3 linked regions of the Caenorhabditis elegans genome follow. The protein of the gene in region 2 interacts with the protein of the main gene of each other region in a biochemical or structural test. Each region holds a gene or a part of one and is shown on either strand. Other genes may lie near its edges. The genes, in order: ify-1, wwp-1 and cyb-1.

What was found.
Region 1: of the proteins of wwp-1 (region 2) and ify-1, one has a biochemical effect on the other in vitro, tested with the Caenorhabditis elegans proteins (one study listed by BioGRID).
Region 3: of the proteins of wwp-1 (region 2) and cyb-1, one has a biochemical effect on the other in vitro, tested with the Caenorhabditis elegans proteins (one study listed by BioGRID).

Annotation. Positions count from the first base shown.
Region 1 is NC_003280.10:5,053,062-5,057,529, reverse strand, and holds ify-1 (Securin-like protein), read left to right. Parts: upstream 1-2,350; 5' UTR 2,351-2,374; coding exon 2,375-2,441; intron 2,442-2,491; coding exon 2,492-2,715; intron 2,716-2,825; coding exon 2,826-3,269; 3' UTR 3,270-3,395; downstream 3,396-4,468. Other genes in the region: C27A2.12 (Histidine acid phosphatase), read left to right, coding at 132-313, 358-450, 498-779, 829-978, 1,021-1,302; rpl-22 (Large ribosomal subunit protein eL22), read right to left, coding at 1,352-1,496, 1,543-1,667, 1,786-1,908; F33G12.6 (PPM-type phosphatase domain-containing protein), read right to left, coding at 3,870-4,011, 4,064-4,203. UniProt on the Caenorhabditis elegans protein: Acts as a chaperone and as an inhibitor for separase sep-1. Plays an essential role in maintaining chromosome cohesion prior to meiotic and mitotic anaphase, in cytokinesis and in organizing the spindle and the centrosome.
Region 2 is NC_003279.8:535,377-543,781, forward strand, and holds wwp-1 (E3 ubiquitin-protein ligase wwp-1), read left to right. Parts: upstream 1-1,745; 5' UTR 1,746-1,761; coding exon 1,762-1,867; intron 1,868-1,926; coding exon 1,927-2,184; intron 2,185-2,229; coding exon 2,230-2,459; intron 2,460-3,325; coding exon 3,326-3,535; intron 3,536-3,709; exon of another isoform or gene 3,710-3,866; intron 3,867-4,076; coding exon 4,077-4,351; intron 4,352-4,418; coding exon 4,419-4,632; intron 4,633-4,687; coding exon 4,688-5,008; intron 5,009-5,346; coding exon 5,347-5,607; intron 5,608-5,687; coding exon 5,688-5,909; intron 5,910-5,967; coding exon 5,968-6,255; 3' UTR 6,256-6,822; downstream 6,823-8,405. Other genes in the region: icd-2 (Nascent polypeptide-associated complex subunit alpha), read left to right, coding at 432-473, 523-930, 980-1,117. UniProt on the Caenorhabditis elegans protein: E3 ubiquitin-protein ligase which accepts ubiquitin from an E2 ubiquitin-conjugating enzyme in the form of a thioester and then directly transfers the ubiquitin to targeted substrates. Ubiquitinates klf-1.
Region 3 is NC_003282.8:10,733,150-10,738,459, forward strand, and holds cyb-1 (G2/mitotic-specific cyclin-B1), read left to right. Parts: upstream 1-2,292; 5' UTR 2,293-2,306; coding exon 2,307-2,366; intron 2,367-2,408; coding exon 2,409-2,827; intron 2,828-2,906; coding exon 2,907-3,293; intron 3,294-3,339; coding exon 3,340-3,442; intron 3,443-3,486; coding exon 3,487-3,603; 3' UTR 3,604-4,024; downstream 4,025-5,310. Other genes in the region: orc-5 (Origin recognition complex subunit 5 C-terminal domain-containing protein), read right to left, coding at 1-55, 118-288, 336-405, 472-644, 690-1,026, 1,069-1,208, 1,286-1,429; grl-21 (Ground-like domain-containing protein), read left to right, coding at 4,344-4,679, 4,723-4,905; ssp-34 (Sperm-specific class P protein 34), read right to left, coding at 5,130-5,310. UniProt on the Caenorhabditis elegans protein: Essential for the control of the cell cycle at the G2/M (mitosis) transition.

The sequences.
Region 1 (4,468 bases), on a different chromosome or scaffold from region 2:
TACTTGTCGGCCGCCATAGCTCAGTCGGTTAGAGCGTGGGTCTAATAAGCCCAAGGTCGCAGGTTCGACCCCTGCTGGCGGCAAAATTTTTTTTTTAATTTACAATGACTTTTGTAGTTTTGGCATTCCAGGTATCGACTATCCTGATATAGAAGGATGGCCACGTGGTTTTATGCCTGTACCAATTCATAGTGCTGGGCCGGCTGGTCAAGATTGTGTTGCTAGTGCATTTTGTATTTGTAGGCGCAGAGATGAACTTCTGAAAATAGCACACGAGGGAGAACAGTTTCAGAGTTATGTACAATCTGAAAAGGTATGAGAAGTGAAACCAGTTATAATTTAAAAATTTAATTCCAGTATGTGAACACAACTTTATTATTGTCTGAACTATTTAATCAAACATTTACATGGGATAACATGTGGCAAGTTCATGATGCTGTTATGATTCAAGTACTTGGTCTACTTAATTTTAAAACCTTTTAAAATTTAATTTTCAGAAAATTCACTTTCCAGAATCTGTACTAAATCAAACATGGTATTCTGATGAATTCTTTGAGAATCTTGACGATTTAGAAAGACCTTCAAAAGCATTCGTTACGGGACTTTATGATCCGCCAATTGTTCAAGGCATCAATGTACGAAGAGAAATCTTAAAAACACGGGGTGGCCCAATGATAAACGATATATCTGCAAGAATGAGAACGAAAGCAACTTGTGCTAAAAATGAAGCCAAATGTGACAATTATCACAAAAATCTGAAATACTACGCTTACTCTACAGTAATCACAACTCCTCTGTACTTGTATAATAGAATCATTTTAATTTCAGCATGATCACACAGTATTCGCTCTCCTCGCTGTGTTAGGAATTGAGGATATTGTTGCAGGACCTGAGAAATATGGCGAGTGGCCTGACTATGCTTCAGATATCGCGATCGAACTGTTCCATAATAAAACGGACGAGAAGCCCTATTTCAGAGTATGTTTCGATTCATAATGCCATCTCATCGCATAATTGCAGGTGCTGTATCAGAAAAATGTTCATTCAACTTTCGAAACTGTCACGTCGAGAATCAAGGGATGCCGAGGAGAACAGTTCTGCGACATGCGAACATTCGAAAACAAAGCAAAGGAATCCCGGCCAGACCGACCCATCCACGAGTTCTGCGAAATACCACCAGGGGAGGATAACAGAGTTACAACCTGGATAAGAAAATTTTTGCATCAAAATTCCGATTTCGAATCATCTTCACCACTCATTCCCTACTGGTACTCGATAATAATCATATTGCTGTTTTTCTAATGAAGCCTGATTTGAAACAACAATTTATTCCAACAACAAAAAACCGAGTTTACTCGTGGTCGCTTCCTGCGTCCTCTCCGTCGTTGATGTGGAAGTATCTGACCTCGTAGGTGTTCTTGTTGACAGCGACCACACGGAGCCAATCACGGAGGGAGTTTCTCTTGAGGTACTTCTTGGTAAGGTACTTGAGGTATCTGAATATAAAAATATGAGAACAAGTTTGATTGAATAAAATGCTACCTCTTCGAGAATGGGACCTCGGAGACGACTGAGACCTTGGACTTGGCGACCTCGACCTTGACGTTGTTAGCGGCCAAATGTCCGGTCTTTCCATTGACCTTGATCTTCTCGTTCAAGAAGGCTTCCTGAAAACAACCGGGACTTACTAGGGACCAATATATACCCTAAGCCTGGTCTTGCGATAGAGACGGGAACTCTATCGACTTGATGAGGCTGATTAATTTTAAAAAGCCTACAACTTACAAGATCTTCGATTCTGAGAATTCCATCCTCAACTGGGTTCTTGCACTCAACGTTGAACTTGAGGTGCACCTTCTTCTTGCGAAGAGCCTTCTTGGCCGACTTGGCGTGTGGCTTTGGGACCATGATTACCTGAAAGTAAAAATTGAGATCTTACAAAATATTATCGGCATCTTCAGGAATAAACGATCATGAAAATAACAAAAAACGATTTCGAAAGCTACACAATATTAAATTGTTTTAAATCTGCTGAAAAAAGCTTGCGTGAAGGTAAAACCCAGAAAAGAAGCAAATTTAGGCCGAGAACTCTACTCATTTTCCAAGTCGGCGTCCCAACACGACAATAACTACGGTCACACTCGTTTCAGCTGTGCGTACCTCCCTCTTATGCATCTGCGCTCTATGGCACTTCGAAGACGCCGGCTAGTTTAAATCATTGATTTTTCCTTTTCACATTTTGTTTCCATCTTTTTGCGGCAAAACGTGAACAATTTAAATTCTTTTGCATCATCGAAACAATTTTTGTATTCATTCCTACTAATTGAAAACTGGCATTCGTACTTTCTAGCTATTCATACTCGCACAAGTCAAAATGGAGGATCTAAACTTCGAAGAAAGAGGAAGCACCCAGATACCAGCCTCCTTGCAACAACACTTCAGTAAGTTTTATTTTAATATATTTATTTTACTTATAACGTCTTTGTTTTAGGTGCAAAGCTAGGCAGACAAAATGAACTTGAAAAGACACCTTCTCGTGGCGGTTTGGGGCTGGTTGTAAACTCGTCAAAAACTCCTGGCGGAAAATCGCTTCAGAGCTTGGCATCGGCTTGTAAAGTGCCACCTTCAACCAAGAAGAACACTATTCCAATTGCTTTTGAATGTTATGAAGATGAGACAGATGATCAGATTGCCGATGTGGCCACCATTAAAAAGGTGATGTTTTCTTCCAGCATAATTATTAAAAGAAAAGAAAACTACGGAAGTTTTAATCTTAAAACAATTAAAAGTATTGCTTCATAATTTTTATTTTCATCATTTTCTAGACCGAAAAACATCCATGCTCTCCAATCGACACTGCAAACCGATGTGAAACATTCGATTCGCTAGCTGCTGACATTGAGGACGATATGCTTAATTTGGAAGATCAAGACGTCGTACTTTCTGAAGATCGGCCATATGGAGACGTTATCGATCCGGCAGAGTCTGAAGCAGAAGCTCTTGCTGAATTGGGAGTCGAGGAATGGGACTCATATCCACCAATTGATCCAGCTTCAAGAATTGGCGACGATTTCAATTATGTGCTCAGAACAGAGGATTTCGCGGAAGAAGGTGATGTGAAACTCGAAGAAACTCGCCATCGGACTGTTATTGCTGATATTGATGAAGTGAAAATGAGTAAGGCTGAAAGAAATGAACTCTTTTCGATGCTTGCGGACGATTTGGATAGTTACGACCTCCTCGCCGAAGAAGCCAACCTTCCCCTGTGATTTCCCACGACGTCAGCCTCTTCTACCTGTTTTACATATATTGGCGAAATCACCCTCGCCCCACAATCATTCCCCCCACTGGTAATTTTCTATGTCCATTCTCTGAACAATGAAACGGTATATCAATGTATTTTATAACTGTTTCAGATGTTTTTGTCTTATAAAAAGTTTTCCAGGAGCTTTTCCCGAAAAATATGTACGGAAAGACGTTTGATGTCTACTATGAAAAGACATAGAAAAAATTCGCGAAGCATTTTTGGAATTTGTTTGAATTAATCTAATATTCCAGGTGTTGGATTGAAGTATTTATTTGACAGAAATTCGACATTTACCGAGGCAAAAACGATTGAGAGGAAATTTGTTTCAAATTATTTAATTCACTCGTAAGCGAAAAAACGGATGTTTTCCGTTTCGAAAGAAATGAATACAAGAAAAGACAAATTTGGCAAAAATTGTAATTTTCTTTCCTATAAATGAATGACTGCGCAGTGATAAAATATCGAAAAGATCGGGTGAAAAACATGGAAGCAAATTATATTCATCGGGATAGCAAAATCTCAGTGGTAGGATAAGTATGGAAATATACATTTGACGAGGTGTTTAGACATTGGTGGCTTTCATTGAGATTTTCATAGTGGATTGGTCAACATTGGATAATGTACGATTCGATCCCAACATGCTTCTGATTCGTTGGCGAAGTGTGTTACGATCGGCATTTGCGGAACTCAAGCTGACATCACCTCTGAAAAAATTAAACTTTGTTTGGAATTTTCAAAATTAAAATGCAAGAAAACCTTATGTCGTCAGCAGTTTTTTGATCTTCTTTCTTGGTCACAAGCTTCTTGAGCCATTGGACATCAACTCCCAAAGTATGACGTCCCATGGATCCTCTGCCATGCTTCTTCCTACGTTTTCCAGAATCTCTTGAGCTTATCTGAACTTGAAAAGTGAGAAAAAATCCAATAATATGGAAATGTTGTAAAATGTTTTGAAATCGATTTGGAAACGTGCTCAACTGCCAATTGAAAACGCTCCGCCACCAACAGTTGGGTCTTGTTAGGTAAACCGTAAACACAAATGTTTTCAAGTAGTTTCGCAGAGTGTTTGAGTTTAAGGTTTTGAAATACCTAACGAGACCCATCAATCGTGGGCGGAGCTTTAAAGCATTTTCTACGCTCTCATAACAATTCTGAAACTGA
Region 2 (8,405 bases):
GCTGCAAAAACTTTGCCAGCAAAAAATTTTGTGCAAGCACGCTCCATCGCACAGTTTGAACGTCGCGGGTCGAAGTTAGATGTGCAGGTCATATAGCAAAAAGAGAAACACCCCTTTTTTTCTCGAGAAGTTTCACCAATTTTGCGCGATTTTTCAACTATTTTTTTGCTTTTTTGGCTTAATTTTGGCTCAGATTTTCCTCAAAAACATGAAAATCCAATCTAGAATAAGTAGTAATGGGTATATTCTAAGATTGTGCAAAAGTTAGCTTGAATTTCCTCGATTAAAGCTTTCCTACCAAGAAAAATGTGTGGATATTTTGAATTTACAAGTTTTTCATCTTTTTTTTGTAATATTCTCTTTGAAACTCCTGTTTCTCTCAAATTTGTAAACTTTCATAAACGTTTTTTTCAGGGTTACCACATTAAACAATGACCGGAAGCACCGAAACTCGCCAGAAGGAAGTCAAGGAGGTTGGTTGTTCAAAGTGACGTCTAAAATATTTAAATTTCTATATTTCAGCCACAAGTTGACGTTTCGGATGATTCCGACAACGAGGCCGTCGAGCAAGAGCTCACCGAGGAGCAAAGACGTGTGGCCGAGGCTGCTGGACTTGGAGATCACATCGACAAGCAGGCCAAGCAAAGCCGCTCCGAGAAGAAGGCCCGCAAGCTCTTCTCCAAGCTCGGACTCAAGCAAGTGACTGGTGTCTCCCGTGTCTGCATTCGCAAGTCGAAGAACATCCTCTTCGTCATAAACAAGCCAGACGTGTTCAAGAGCCCAGGATCTGACACCTACATCATCTTCGGAGAAGCCAAGATCGAGGATCTCACCCAACACGCCCAGATGTCTGCTATTGAGAACTTGAAGCCAACTCGTGAGGCCCCACAACTCAAGACTGTCGAAGAGGACGAGAATGAGGATGTTGAGGTAATTCAGTAACTTAATCGGATTTATTACATTAATTGTACGGTTTAAGGAGGATTCCACCGGCATTGAGGAGAAGGACATCGAGCTTGTCATTTCCCAAGCCAACACCACCCGCAACAAGGCCATCAGGGCGCTTAAGGAAGCTGACAATGACATCGTCAATGCCATCATGAGCCTTACCATGTAGCTTGTTTCCTGATGACCTTGCAGATACTCTTGTTATCGTTGTATCTCTTGCTTATCCCGTTTTCCGTTCCAAGTAAACGTTTATCAGTCTTTTTTAACTTTTTTGTTATGTTTAAAAAACAATTGCATCTTCGAATTGACCTACCTTTTACAGAAAAGAACAATTAAATCACTGTTTGTGTAAAACACCCCTCTATTGATCGAGAACTTTCACTTCTTCCAATTCTTTACTCGTATGACTGTGATTCATTTCACCTGCTATCACTTTATCATGACATTCCAGTTTATATCAACAGCAAATACCAATTGTGTGTATGTGAAAAATGCTATTGAATAGCAAGCGCGCCCCAACAAACACGTTTGAATGCGCGGGCGAAACGGCGTTAGATGTGCAGGTCATATGACAAAACGCATCGACCAGCAGCCAATGGCAAGTTACTGCGAGCTGTTATAGATTTTTTCACATGGTTTCCAGTGTTATCAGTTGGAAATCGATCGATAATACTGACTAGTAGTACTTAACATCTTCATTCCCACCGTTTCGCTGTCATTTGTGATACGTGGATTTATTTTTCCTTTCTCGCCGACTTTTCATTTCTAAATCTTTTCTGGAATTGCGAAATTTTCAGCCAGTTTCATGATCGAATGGCTCGTAATGAACCATCATCTCAGCAGCCGAGTAGTTCCGGGAGTAATGGAACTCCAGCACAACAAAACGGGTCGGCAAAACCATCAAAAGTCACAGTAAAAGGTAACAATTCGTAGATTTTTTGCATCTGTTCTAATAATATTTCCCCCTCTTAATCATAGTCGTCAACGCGTCGTTCACCAAGGCAGCCGACTGCTATGTCGAAATCACGAGTGACACGTCATCGGCGGCGCCAAAAAAGACGACTGTAAAGAAGAAGACGATGGCGCCCGAGTGGAATGAACATCTCAACGTTCATGCAAATGAATCTTCGACAATTTCGTTTCGTCTATTGCAAAAAGCCAAGCTATTCGATGACACGTGTCTAGGGATGGCGAAGCTGAAGCTTTCGAGTCTCACAAGAAATGAGAATGGAGAGTGTAAGTGGTTTTATTGAAATTTTCTCAAAAAATCTATTATTTCAGTCAAAAACGACATCAACAATATATCTTTGCTGGCCAAAGACTCCTCGAAAATCGGAACTCTCAACATAATTTTCTCCGGATATCCAGAGCGGAAACGAAGAAGCGCAGGAGTACGAGCTGAAACCGCCGCGTCTGCAAGTTCAGAGGCATCCACGTCAAATGGCGTTGCCACGTCATCCTCGGCGCGGAGACCGGCGACAGCGAAGCGTGACACTTTGGCGGCTCCAACGGTAATCGTGACGAGACCCATTTTGAATTATTTAATTATTCATGAAACGCTCTACTGGAGTGTTCATAATTATTAGAGCGCGCTCGCGCGGCACCTCACGAACTCCAGAATTCGCGAGGACAGCAGTTTTTGGCTATTTTGGCTTCTATGGAAATTATTTTTAATTTTTTGATTTAAAATATTGTTGAGAAGCATCATCCAAATTGAAAATGTGTAAAATTATGAAATTTGACCGAAAACTGAAGGTTTTACAGAGAGGAGTCACCACGGCTTTCTTTAAAAAGTATCAGTACCGTCAGTATTTCGATTTCAGAGTCGTAAAATATGTCATTTTGTAGAGAAACGTCTGTTTCACAAAAATCCATGTTTGATATTTTAATTGTTTAATTTCTAATATAAAAATATTCAAAAAATCAACAAGTTTACGTTAAAATCGAATTTTTCAATCGTTCAGTTTTTAATAAGAACAATTTCATAATTTCAAACATGGATTTTTTTGAAACAGACTTTTCTCTACAAAATGACATATTTTACGACTCTGAAATCGAAAAAACTGACGGTACTGATACATTTTAAAGAAAGTCGTGGTGACTCCTCTCTGTAAACCTTCAGTTTTCGTTAAAAATAATTTCCATAGAAGCCAAAAATAGCCAAAAACTGCTGTCCCCGCGAAACGAAATCCCGCGAATTCTGGAGTTCGTGAGGTGCCGCGCGAGCGCGCTCTAATAATTATGAACACTAGAGGAGAGCGTGAATGAGCGTTTTTTATTCTTTTCTCTGCATTTTTAATGCTACAGAATCATACACAAAATGTTGTCAAATACATGCATTACTCTACTACTCTTAATGTTTACTTTTCATTTGCAGAGTACCGCAGCGGCGGCAGCAGCAGCAACAGCAGGCGGCACCCCGGCCGCCGGAGCAGAAGAACAGCTTCCCGATGGATGGGAGATGCGTTTCGATCAATACGGACGCAAGTACTACGTGGATCACACCACCAAGAGCACCACGTGGGAACGCCCGTCTACTCAGCCATTGCCACAGGGATGGGAAATGCGAAGAGATCCGAGAGGAAGAGTGAGTTTTCCGGCGGAAAAAGCAGATTTAGCACGAGAAAAGCGTTTCTGATTATATTTTTGATGCGAAAATCATCAAAATTAAAAATATCTACCGTAGCCGCGGATACCTGGACCAAAATGCCGAAAAAAGTGACCTGATAAATTATTTTAAGGCTAAAATCTTGATTTTTACATAATTAGTGTCTTATTTTTGTTGATTTCTTGTCAAATTTTTGTAATTGCATCGAAATAGGCCAAAAATAAAGTAAAAATCAACTTCCAACACAGAAAAACTGACAAAATTGAAGATTTTTGCTGAATTCAGGCAATTTTTCGTAATTTTGATCCTCCATAATTTTTTTTTTCGAGAAAATTTTGAAATTTTTTCTTTAAATACGGCCTGAAAATTAGGAAATTATAACGACGGATAAAAAATTCTGATTTTCTTTATTTTAACCAAGGTCTCCAATTATTTGATAATCGAAAAAAAAAAAACTTTCCAGTGATTTTTACTTGAAAAATGTCTAAAAATTCACGCCAGGTGCACAATCCATTTTCAGGTGTATTACGTGGATCACAACACGCGCACGACCACCTGGCAACGACCGACAGCCGATATGCTTGAAGCACACGAACAATGGCAATCGGGAAGAGATCAGGCGATGCTTCAATGGGAACAACGTTTCCTTCTCCAGCAGAACAACTTTAGCGCCGACGATCCACTCGGACCATTGCCCGAAGGATGGGAGAAGCGTCAGGATCCGAATACGTCGAGAATGTACTTTGTGAATCATGTAAATAGAACGACACAATGGGAAGATCCGAGAACACAGGGGTATGTGAAAATTTTCAATTTTCCAATAATATTTCTATCAAAAATCACAGTTTTAATGTTTTAAAAGTTTCAGAGGCTCCGACCAACCTCTTCCGGATGGTTGGGAAATGCGATTCACCGAGCAAGGCGTTCCATTCTTCATCGATCACCAGTCTAAAACCACCACCTATAATGATCCAAGAACCGGAAAACCCGTCGGCCCGCTCGGCGTCGTCGGTGTTCAAATGGCCATGGAGAAGAGTTTCCGGTGGAAAATTGCACAATTCAGATATTTATGCTTGGTAAGGGAGGGCGAGAAATTCTTTGATTTTAGCTATAAATTGATGTAAATTTCAGTCAAACAGTGTGCCTAATCATGTCAAAATCACAGTATCCCGTAATAACGTGTTCGAAGACTCATTCCAAGAAATTATGCGTAAAAATGCAGTCGATCTACGCCGGCGGCTGTACATTCAATTCCGAGGCGAAGAGGGTCTCGACTATGGAGGTGTCGCCAGAGAATGGTTCTTCCTGCTGTCGCACGAAGTGTTGAATCCAATGTATTGCCTATTCATGTATGCTGGTAATAACAATTATAGTCTTCAAATCAATCCAGCTTCATTTGTTAACCCGGATCATCTTAAGTATTTCGAGTATATTGGACGATTCATTGCCATGGTGAGTGTTTTTTTTTAATTGAAAATCAGTTGAAAATTGGATGAAAAATTGCGAAATCGAGAGAAAATCGAGTTTTCCGCTTTTTACAATTGAATTTTAAAATTTTAAACGTTAAATTTTGCAGAAAATTCCAAAAAAAAGCACTTGGATCTAAAATTTTTGTTTTTTGATGAAGGAAATCCTTAAATATCGATTTTTTTTATTTTCAGCTCAAAAAACCTGGAAATTTCGATGATCTCAAATTTTCAGATCAATATATTTCATTTTCTCCTAAAAATGTTATTTTTATTTAAACAAATAGTTTTTCTTAGAAAATTCCTTTATTTTCAAATTTCCAGGCGCTATTCCACGGGAAATTCATCTACAGCGGTTTCACGATGCCATTCTACAAAAAGATGCTCAACAAGAAGATTGTTTTAAAGGACATTGAACAAGTCGATTCGGAAATTTATAATTCATTGATGTGGATCAAGGATAACAATATCGATGAATGCGATATGGAGCTCTATTTTGTTGCCGATTACGAGCTGCTCGGCGAGCTCAAGACTTATGAGCTTAAGGAGGGCGGTACAGAGATTGCTGTTACCGAGGAGAATAAGGTGAGATTTTGGATTAGCTAGAGCTTATAAAAATAATTTTTAAATAAAATAATTTAATTTAAAAAATCCCAATTTTCCAGCTTGAATACATCGAACTGCTCGTTGAGTGGCGCTTCAATCGCGGTGTCGAACAACAGACAAAAGCCTTCTTCACCGGCTTCAACTCGGTCTTCCCGTTGGAATGGATGCAGTATTTCGATGAAAGAGAGCTCGAGCTGTTGCTCTGCGGAATGCAGGACGTTGATGTGGACGATTGGCAGAGAAATACTGTCTACAGACATTATGCTCCACAGAGCAAGCAGGTAGGGGAGAACATTTGATTAAAACTTCTTTTTTTTTAATTAAAAAATACATTTATAGGTAACCTGGTTCTGGCAATGGGTTCGAAGTCTGGACCAAGAAAAACGTGCCCGGCTCCTACAATTCGTCACAGGAACGTGCCGTGTGCCAGTCGGTGGATTTTCCGAGCTGATGGGCTCGACGGGACCACAACTATTCTGTATCGAGCGTGTCGGCAAGGAGAACTGGCTCCCACGGTCGCATACGTGCTTCAATCGACTCGACTTGCCGCCATACAGAAGCTACGATCAGCTCGTCGAGAAGTTGAGCATGGCGATCGAGATGACGGAAGGATTTGGAAACGAGTAGTCTCCCGTTGTTTTTTTTTGGTTTTGCTGGCCGCCTAATTATTGTATAACCCTCATATTTCTTCTCACCCACACCCCATTGATTTTCCTTTTTTTTCTCTCCATCAATTAATGTTTCTTTTTTTCGAATTTGTGTGATAATTTTCGTGTTGTGATACCACTTGCTTAGGTTCTCTCTCTCTCTTTCCTTTCCTTCTGGGTATGTACCTATATTTAGAATATAGACAAAGCATCTAGTTTTTTTGGATTTAATTTCCAAATTTCCCGTTTAATTCCAACAACAAAAAAACAATTCCACCACTTTTCAAATATTTTTTTTGTGTCCATTGCTTCATTGCTTTTCTTCTTCTCAACCATTTCAACCACCACCACCCAATCTGCGCCTTATTCTTACTTGGTCCTTGTCATTCTTAGTTCCAGTTTTTTTCACGGAAGCAGCTCTCGATTATTAATTCAAATGCATCCCCCCAACCAATCCGTCACCCCCCGATTAGAACAATTTCTACTTTTTTTTTTGAAAACAAAAAAAAACACAATTCCTCGATTTGGTTGTAATGAATTTAATTTTTTAAATTTTGAGCCTTTTTTGTTGTTTTAGGTTTTCTTAACTTTCAGAATTTCCATGCGGAACACACGGAGAGCAGAAGATCAATATTTTGAACCCTGCAGGAGAAGGACGGGACCCTTTGGTCACTCATGTCTCGGCTGTCTGCGTCTCTCCTCTCTCTCTGCACCAGCGGAGAGGATGGATAGCCTCATTCGTTTTATTTCGGACTTTCGATTTTTCTTATTGCTCCACGTTTTAGCTTTTATCAGATTCGGGGAGCTCTTGCTTTTTTCTTGATTTTTTCGTAAAGTGTTCTTGGGTCCCGCAGCGAAAATTAACTTTAAAATGATTTTTTAAAAACTTTCTAAAAATTCATTTTTTTTTCCATTTTACGACTAGAAATTTCGAAATTTGAAAAAAAAAACCGTGTTGCAAATGCGCTCCAGCGTACAAAACAAAACCGCCACCAAAAAATTTAAATTACTGAAAAAAACGATGAAATTTTGAATTTGTTTTGCCATTTTCCGGCAATGATTTTTTAAATAAAAAAAACTGTACAACAAATGCGCTCCAGCGAACTAACCTTCAAATTACCGAAAAAAATTATAAAAATTTGAATATTTCCGATTAACCCAAGAAAAGAAAAATTCAATGATTTTCTTGAAAAAAGTTATTTTTTTCTCAATTTTTCGTCAATAATACTCAAAATTTGAAGAAAAATTGTGTAGCAAGCGCGCTCTAGCGAACCAAACAAAATGTCTCCATTGAAGCGTTTCACGAGGTTCTGGCCTACCTCATTGAATTTTTCGCGCTCCATTGACAATCGCCCGCCGATAACGCGTGGGAAAGTCGTGTACTCCACACGGACAAATACATTTAGTTTTACTACAAATATCGAGCCGCGACGCGACACGCAACGCGCCGTAAATCTACCCCAGATATGGCCGAGCCAAAATGGCCTAGTTCGGCAAAAACTCTTCCATTTCAATTCATGAGGGAAGCCAGAAATCCGTGATCCAAGTAAAAAAAATCCCAAAAATTTCAATTTGCAAGGGCGCTCCATTGAAAACTGTGGCGCCGATCGCAACTCACGGTCGAATTTGAATTTTTAGTTGAAAAAAAAACACCAATTTGAACTGAAAATTTGAATTTTCAATTTTTTCCCTAAAATAAATTGTTCAGAGTTTCGCTGTCGAATTGTTGATACCCGCTCGTCAGAATTGGAAATTGAGAAATTGAGAGAGAATTAGAGAAGGAGAGGAAGAGGAACTGCTCACTGGTCCCCTCACTCCATCCGAAATTAGGCACTTTTTGCTCCGGCGGCACTAGAAGACGAAGAAAAAACGACGAGCAGAACACAATCAATTTCGTCTTCTTTTTTATTTTTTTTTGGTTTTTTCTTGTTGGTACCACGGATTTCTGGCTTCCCTCATAAATTGAAATGGAAGAGTTTTTGCCGAAATAGGCCATTTTGGCTCGGCCATATCTGGGGTAGACTAACGGCGCGTTGCGTGTCGCGTCGCGGCTCGATTTTAGTTGTAAAACTAAATGTGATTTGTCCGTGTGGAGTACACGACTTTCCCACGCGTTGTCCGGCGGCCGAT
Region 3 (5,310 bases), on a different chromosome or scaffold from region 2:
CGAGATTGCTTCGATTTGTTACTGACACGAGCCCCATTGAATCGAGAGATGCGATCTGGAACCTTTGGATGAGAAATTTTTCTAGGCGAAATGAAGAGAATGTATAGTGCAACATACAACACTTTTGAGATCAAATCCTGTAATAGTCGATTCATTGATTTTGAGAAGCGTTTCGTAAATACAAATTATTCTTTGAAGATCTGCAGCTTTTGGACCGAGATCTTTGGCAAGTCGATTTTCTTCTAAACGCAGCTCTTTCTTTTCTGATCTCTTTTCTCGGCCGTGGTTCTGAAAAAAACGGAAAATTATTATTTCTGGAATAAATTATGTGCAACCTTTACGAAAAATCGGCAGTCTGATTGATGAGGATTATTGCTGGCACAGTATGCGGCTATGAGAAGATATCTGAAATAAAAATTTACTGGAATTTCTGGAAGAACTACATATTTTCTGTTGAGTATTTTTAGATACCTCATGGCGAGCGGCATGGCATCAAAACTGTTCTCGTTCTCCTTGGCCAGATTCTCTCCGACAACATTCCCGAGCTTTTCTCCAGATGATCTATTGAGGCATTCTTTTGCCAGTGTAGAGTCGAATTTATCGCCGGTTCTCCGCTCATCATACATTAGCCACGCATCAGATATCTGGAATTGTAGTGATGGATTTAACATTGTTTTTAAAAAACTTACAATTGATAGAAGAATATTCGGTGACTTGCAGGCCATGAACAGTGACTGGCAAGCAACGTGAAGAAATTGCGCGTTGATTTTTGGATTTGCACGAGAAATAAGAACTTTGGTAGTTTCTACTGATGGTGCAGGTATGTGAAACTCTACAACTGGAAGATGGCTCAGATTAATGTGATATTGGTTCAAGCAGGATGGTGCACTCGTCACAAATCGAATCGTTATTTCTTGTATAGCTTTGTAAGAATCGAATAAGCATTGTAATGGAACAGGAGGATAGTCTGTTATCGCTTGTGCATTATCAAGAAAAATGACAATTTTTCTATTAGTTTCGTCTGGCCTGAAAATATTTAAAATTTAATTAACAAGAAAATACACTTACCATTGGACATATTTATACAGGTTATCGCAAAAATTCTCAGCTCTGTCACCTCTAGTCTTGAAACCTAAACTCGATGCCAGTGAATCGAATAACAATTTCAGCGATCCATCCGCATAGAGGAAGTCTCCAAGCACACAAACCTATAAAAATAGATTGTGAATTTTGAAATTGTTTGAAATTTTTAATTGTTTTGAAATTGAAGTTGTAAAACACGAACCCAATCGTTTTCAGGTTTTCTCAGAAGTTGACGAACAATTTCACTTCTTCCGCTTCCATCTTCTCCGAAAATGTGGACATGAGAAATAATTCGCGAGTTGTTAAATAAGAGCATTTTTAGACGTCTTATCTCACAATTTTCCATTTTGCTAAAAATAAAAAACTATGATATGGATAAAATGACTGATTTTTCAGCCTTGAAATAAAAACAAAAAAAACTTTCTTCCAGTAAAAACTGTTTTCAAGTTGGCGGGTATTCAATGGAGCAGGTTTACTTGGCTAAACTAAGCGCGATGCGAAATAACGGAGTGTCGTATTGCAGCGCGAACCTTGAAAATAAAATCATTTGCTCTTGAAACTTTGCGATTATTAAAGTTTTGATCGGATCTCCCTCAATTTTTCGGCGCCAAGAATTTATTTTTTGCAAAAACCTTCAATGGAACGATTATTTTCCAACGCAGGTTTCCCTATTTGAATCTTTGCCACATAGACCGGTTCATTTTATTCATTATTCGATTCTTGAACAAAAACAATCTTTTTTTCTTTGGCTTATCGTTATCAAATACCTAACTTTGGAGCTTTATTAATATTCTAGGTTCATTTGTAATTCATCTTTTAACGTCTGTTCTTCATTCATCCTAGGTGACATATTTAATCGATATTACCCTTCGCGATTCCCCCCTCCTACCACCAAGCACCATCTTGGTGTGGGGGAGTTGCGCTCCGTTGGACAATCGCTGCACGCGGAACATTCGAATCCCATTTGTCGATATTCTTGTATTTAGTGCAAACAATTCTTAATAGGCTCCTCACGTGACCTTAACATGTTCGCCGTGTAGAAACTATTTACACGTTGTGTTCTATTTAGATAAAATCATAACCTTTCTGTCAGATTTTGTAAAACGTCCAGTATTTCTCAACTTACCAATTTTCTACTAGCAATCAAAGGTTCTTTCTCACTTTTTATTTTATTATCTCTTGGAACTTGCAAACAATCGTTTATTGCAGCGAAAGGCCTCAATATGCTAAGAGCCACCAACAACAGACGAACATCGAATAATGTGGAAAAGGATAGCCTCCAGGTACAAGGTGTTTACAAACTAAAAACTATAATTATCATTCAGATGGCTAAGCACGGAAACGGACCATTGAAGCCCGTCAATGCGCAAGGTCTTCAGACGAAAAGAGAAGCTCGAGAGATTCTTGCACTCAAGCCATCCAATCCAGCTCCAGTCGAAACTGCGCAAAAGTCACAGAGAATCAACCTCCAGGATGCTGAGACTAAATGTCTTGCTATGGCCGACGACATATACAAGTATCTCGTTCATCACGAGAAAAAGTATCTTCTTGAGGAGTGCTTCATGGAGGGAGGAGAGCCCACTCCCAAGATGCGTCGCATTCTCGTCGATTGGCTTGTCCAAGTTCATGTTCGATTCCATCTCACACCTGAGACACTTCACTTGACTGTCTTCATTCTGGATCGCATGCTTCAGAAGAAGGTCACCTCCAAGGCGGATCTTCAGCTTCTTGGAATTTCAGCTATGTGAGAGTTTTTATTCAATTTTAAAACGTAACATATAGGGATTACTAATTGTGTATCCTTTAAAAATGTTTTGTTTCAGGTTCGTTGCCTCCAAGTTCGAAGAGGTTTACCTCCCAGACATCCACGACTACGAGTTCATCACTGAGAACACATACAGCAAGAAGCAGATCTTGGCAATGGAGCAAACAATCCTTAACTCGTTGAACTTTGACTTGTCCTGCCCATCTTCGCTTGTCTTCCTCCGCTGTCTCTCAAGAATTCTCTCCGAAAACGATGCCAGCCCAATCGATAATCAAGCTTTCTGTTATACTTACAATATCTCCAAGTGTCTCGGAGAGCTCGCACTGCTCGATTCGGTTATGGCCTCGACCCCAAGGTCCCACATTGCTTCTGCTTCGATGATCATCGCTCTTGAAGTTCATCCTGTTGACGGAATCGAGGCGGAGAATGCTGTATCGGTCATTTGGTACATTTTAAAGCTTATATTTTTATTTTAATATCAACATTTTTAGCAAACAGCTCGGAGCCTCTAAGAAAGTCATTGAGGATGCTGTCGCTTTGCTCGCCGAAGTCTCGTATAAGAACTTCAAACAGGGGAAGCTTGTCGCTATTAAGGTATTGAATCATCGAAGTATTCCAATAAACATAATTATTTGCAGAATAAGTATCAATCAAGCAAGCTTGCACAAGTTTCCAACTTGATGACCGACGACGTACTCGAGAAAATCAATCGGATGGGCCAGAATGCAAAAGTGGACGCATCAGAAATGGAATGAGCACTTCGATCCGAAATAAACATTTTGTACCATTCAGTCTTTCTTGATTCTTATGTTTCTTCCTTCATTGCTTTTCTTTTCGGCTCCTTTCCATTTTTTAACTCCTCCAGTCGTTTCCACGTCAATCTGGTCACACCCGTACATTGATTGTAAATTGGTGAACATTCGTTGAGCGACCATACACCACCTCCCATATTATTCAATTTGTCCATTTTGAAATTTAAAATTTCACTAAAAATTTTTATCACAACTTTTCGCGCCCTCTTTTGTATCGATCTCGTATTTAATTATTGAAACCACACTGCTGTAAGACTCACCGTCCTCATCTCTGTTGTTGTAACTAGAAGGACCAAAAACTTTCTGATGAAACCTATGTGCTATTAAATTTTGTTAAATGGAATTACTATAAATCATGTACTAAATAAGTGATGGAGTAGTCTGAAGGTTCTAGGGGGTCTCCTGCGCAATGACGCGACGAACTTAAACCAGTCAACAAGCATAAAAACAAGTAGGCTCCACCCACTTTAACCTTGAATTCTGTGTGCCGAACCCGGGGTCAAGTGGCTTTTCGGCCAATTACTCATCGGTTTGTTACAGCACTGGCGGTCACTTCTCGCCGAATTTTCTCAAAATGTGTAATAATGAAGCTGCAATTTCTCTGCGTATCAATCTCTAACGCTCTGCTGTAATGACTACAAAAGTGACCATCGAAAACGAGAATTTCATACATTCCACTCGAAATGGTTCATTCATCAGTTCTAATTGTTCTTTCACTGACTGCTTCTTCATCTGCATTCCTTCTAGAAGGACTCGGTTTAGGATTAGGTCCACAAAGACCTCAACAATGCTGCTGTCCACCACCTCCACCACCTCCACCATGCGGAGGCGGATATGAAGCTCCACCTCCACCACCACCACCATCATATGCGGGTGGACCATCATACGCTGGACCATCTTATGCTGGATCCTACGGACCAGGACCATACAGAGCCAAGTCAAAGAGATCAGTTGACATGAAAGCTTCAAGTGGAGATTTGTTCTGTAATAGTGTTGAAGTTAGAGATATTATCAAGAAGGTATTGCATTTGAAAGTAACTAGTCTATATTGAACATTTTCAGGGAATGACATCAGGTGAGAAGGAGTCACGTGAAACAATCACTGCTCTCCTGAAAACTGAAATGAACCGTGAATATGTTGTGATCTGCACAAAGCAGCCATTCGAATACCTCGCTTCTTCCGATTCAGAGTTCTGCTCAGTGACAAATGATTCAGGAATCACTTGCTCTTCTTTCGTATTCTAGATGCTCAAGCTCTATGTACAATTACTATACGGAATCTCAGGAAAAATCCCCAACTTCTTTCGTTTTTTTTGTTAAATATGTATCACATGACTGAATACTATCTTATATTGGAATTGATAAACATTTTTAAAACACAATCAAACACCAGCGGAAAATACAATAATTTTATTCAATACAAAAATCAATGAATCTCTTTCCCATTTGCTTCAGTTATTGCATTCCATTCAAGCAGCGATGAGCTTCACAATGATTTCTCCTTGTTGAGCTCCAGCCTTGAACGGTGCCATTGGATCAGTCTCTTCGGCTGGCACTTCCGCGTATTGAATCACAATTTTGTCTTCTTTTGGTGGCCCTGGAAGACGATTGATGTCCAATTTGCTCTTTCCCTTTGCATCCACGAACCCA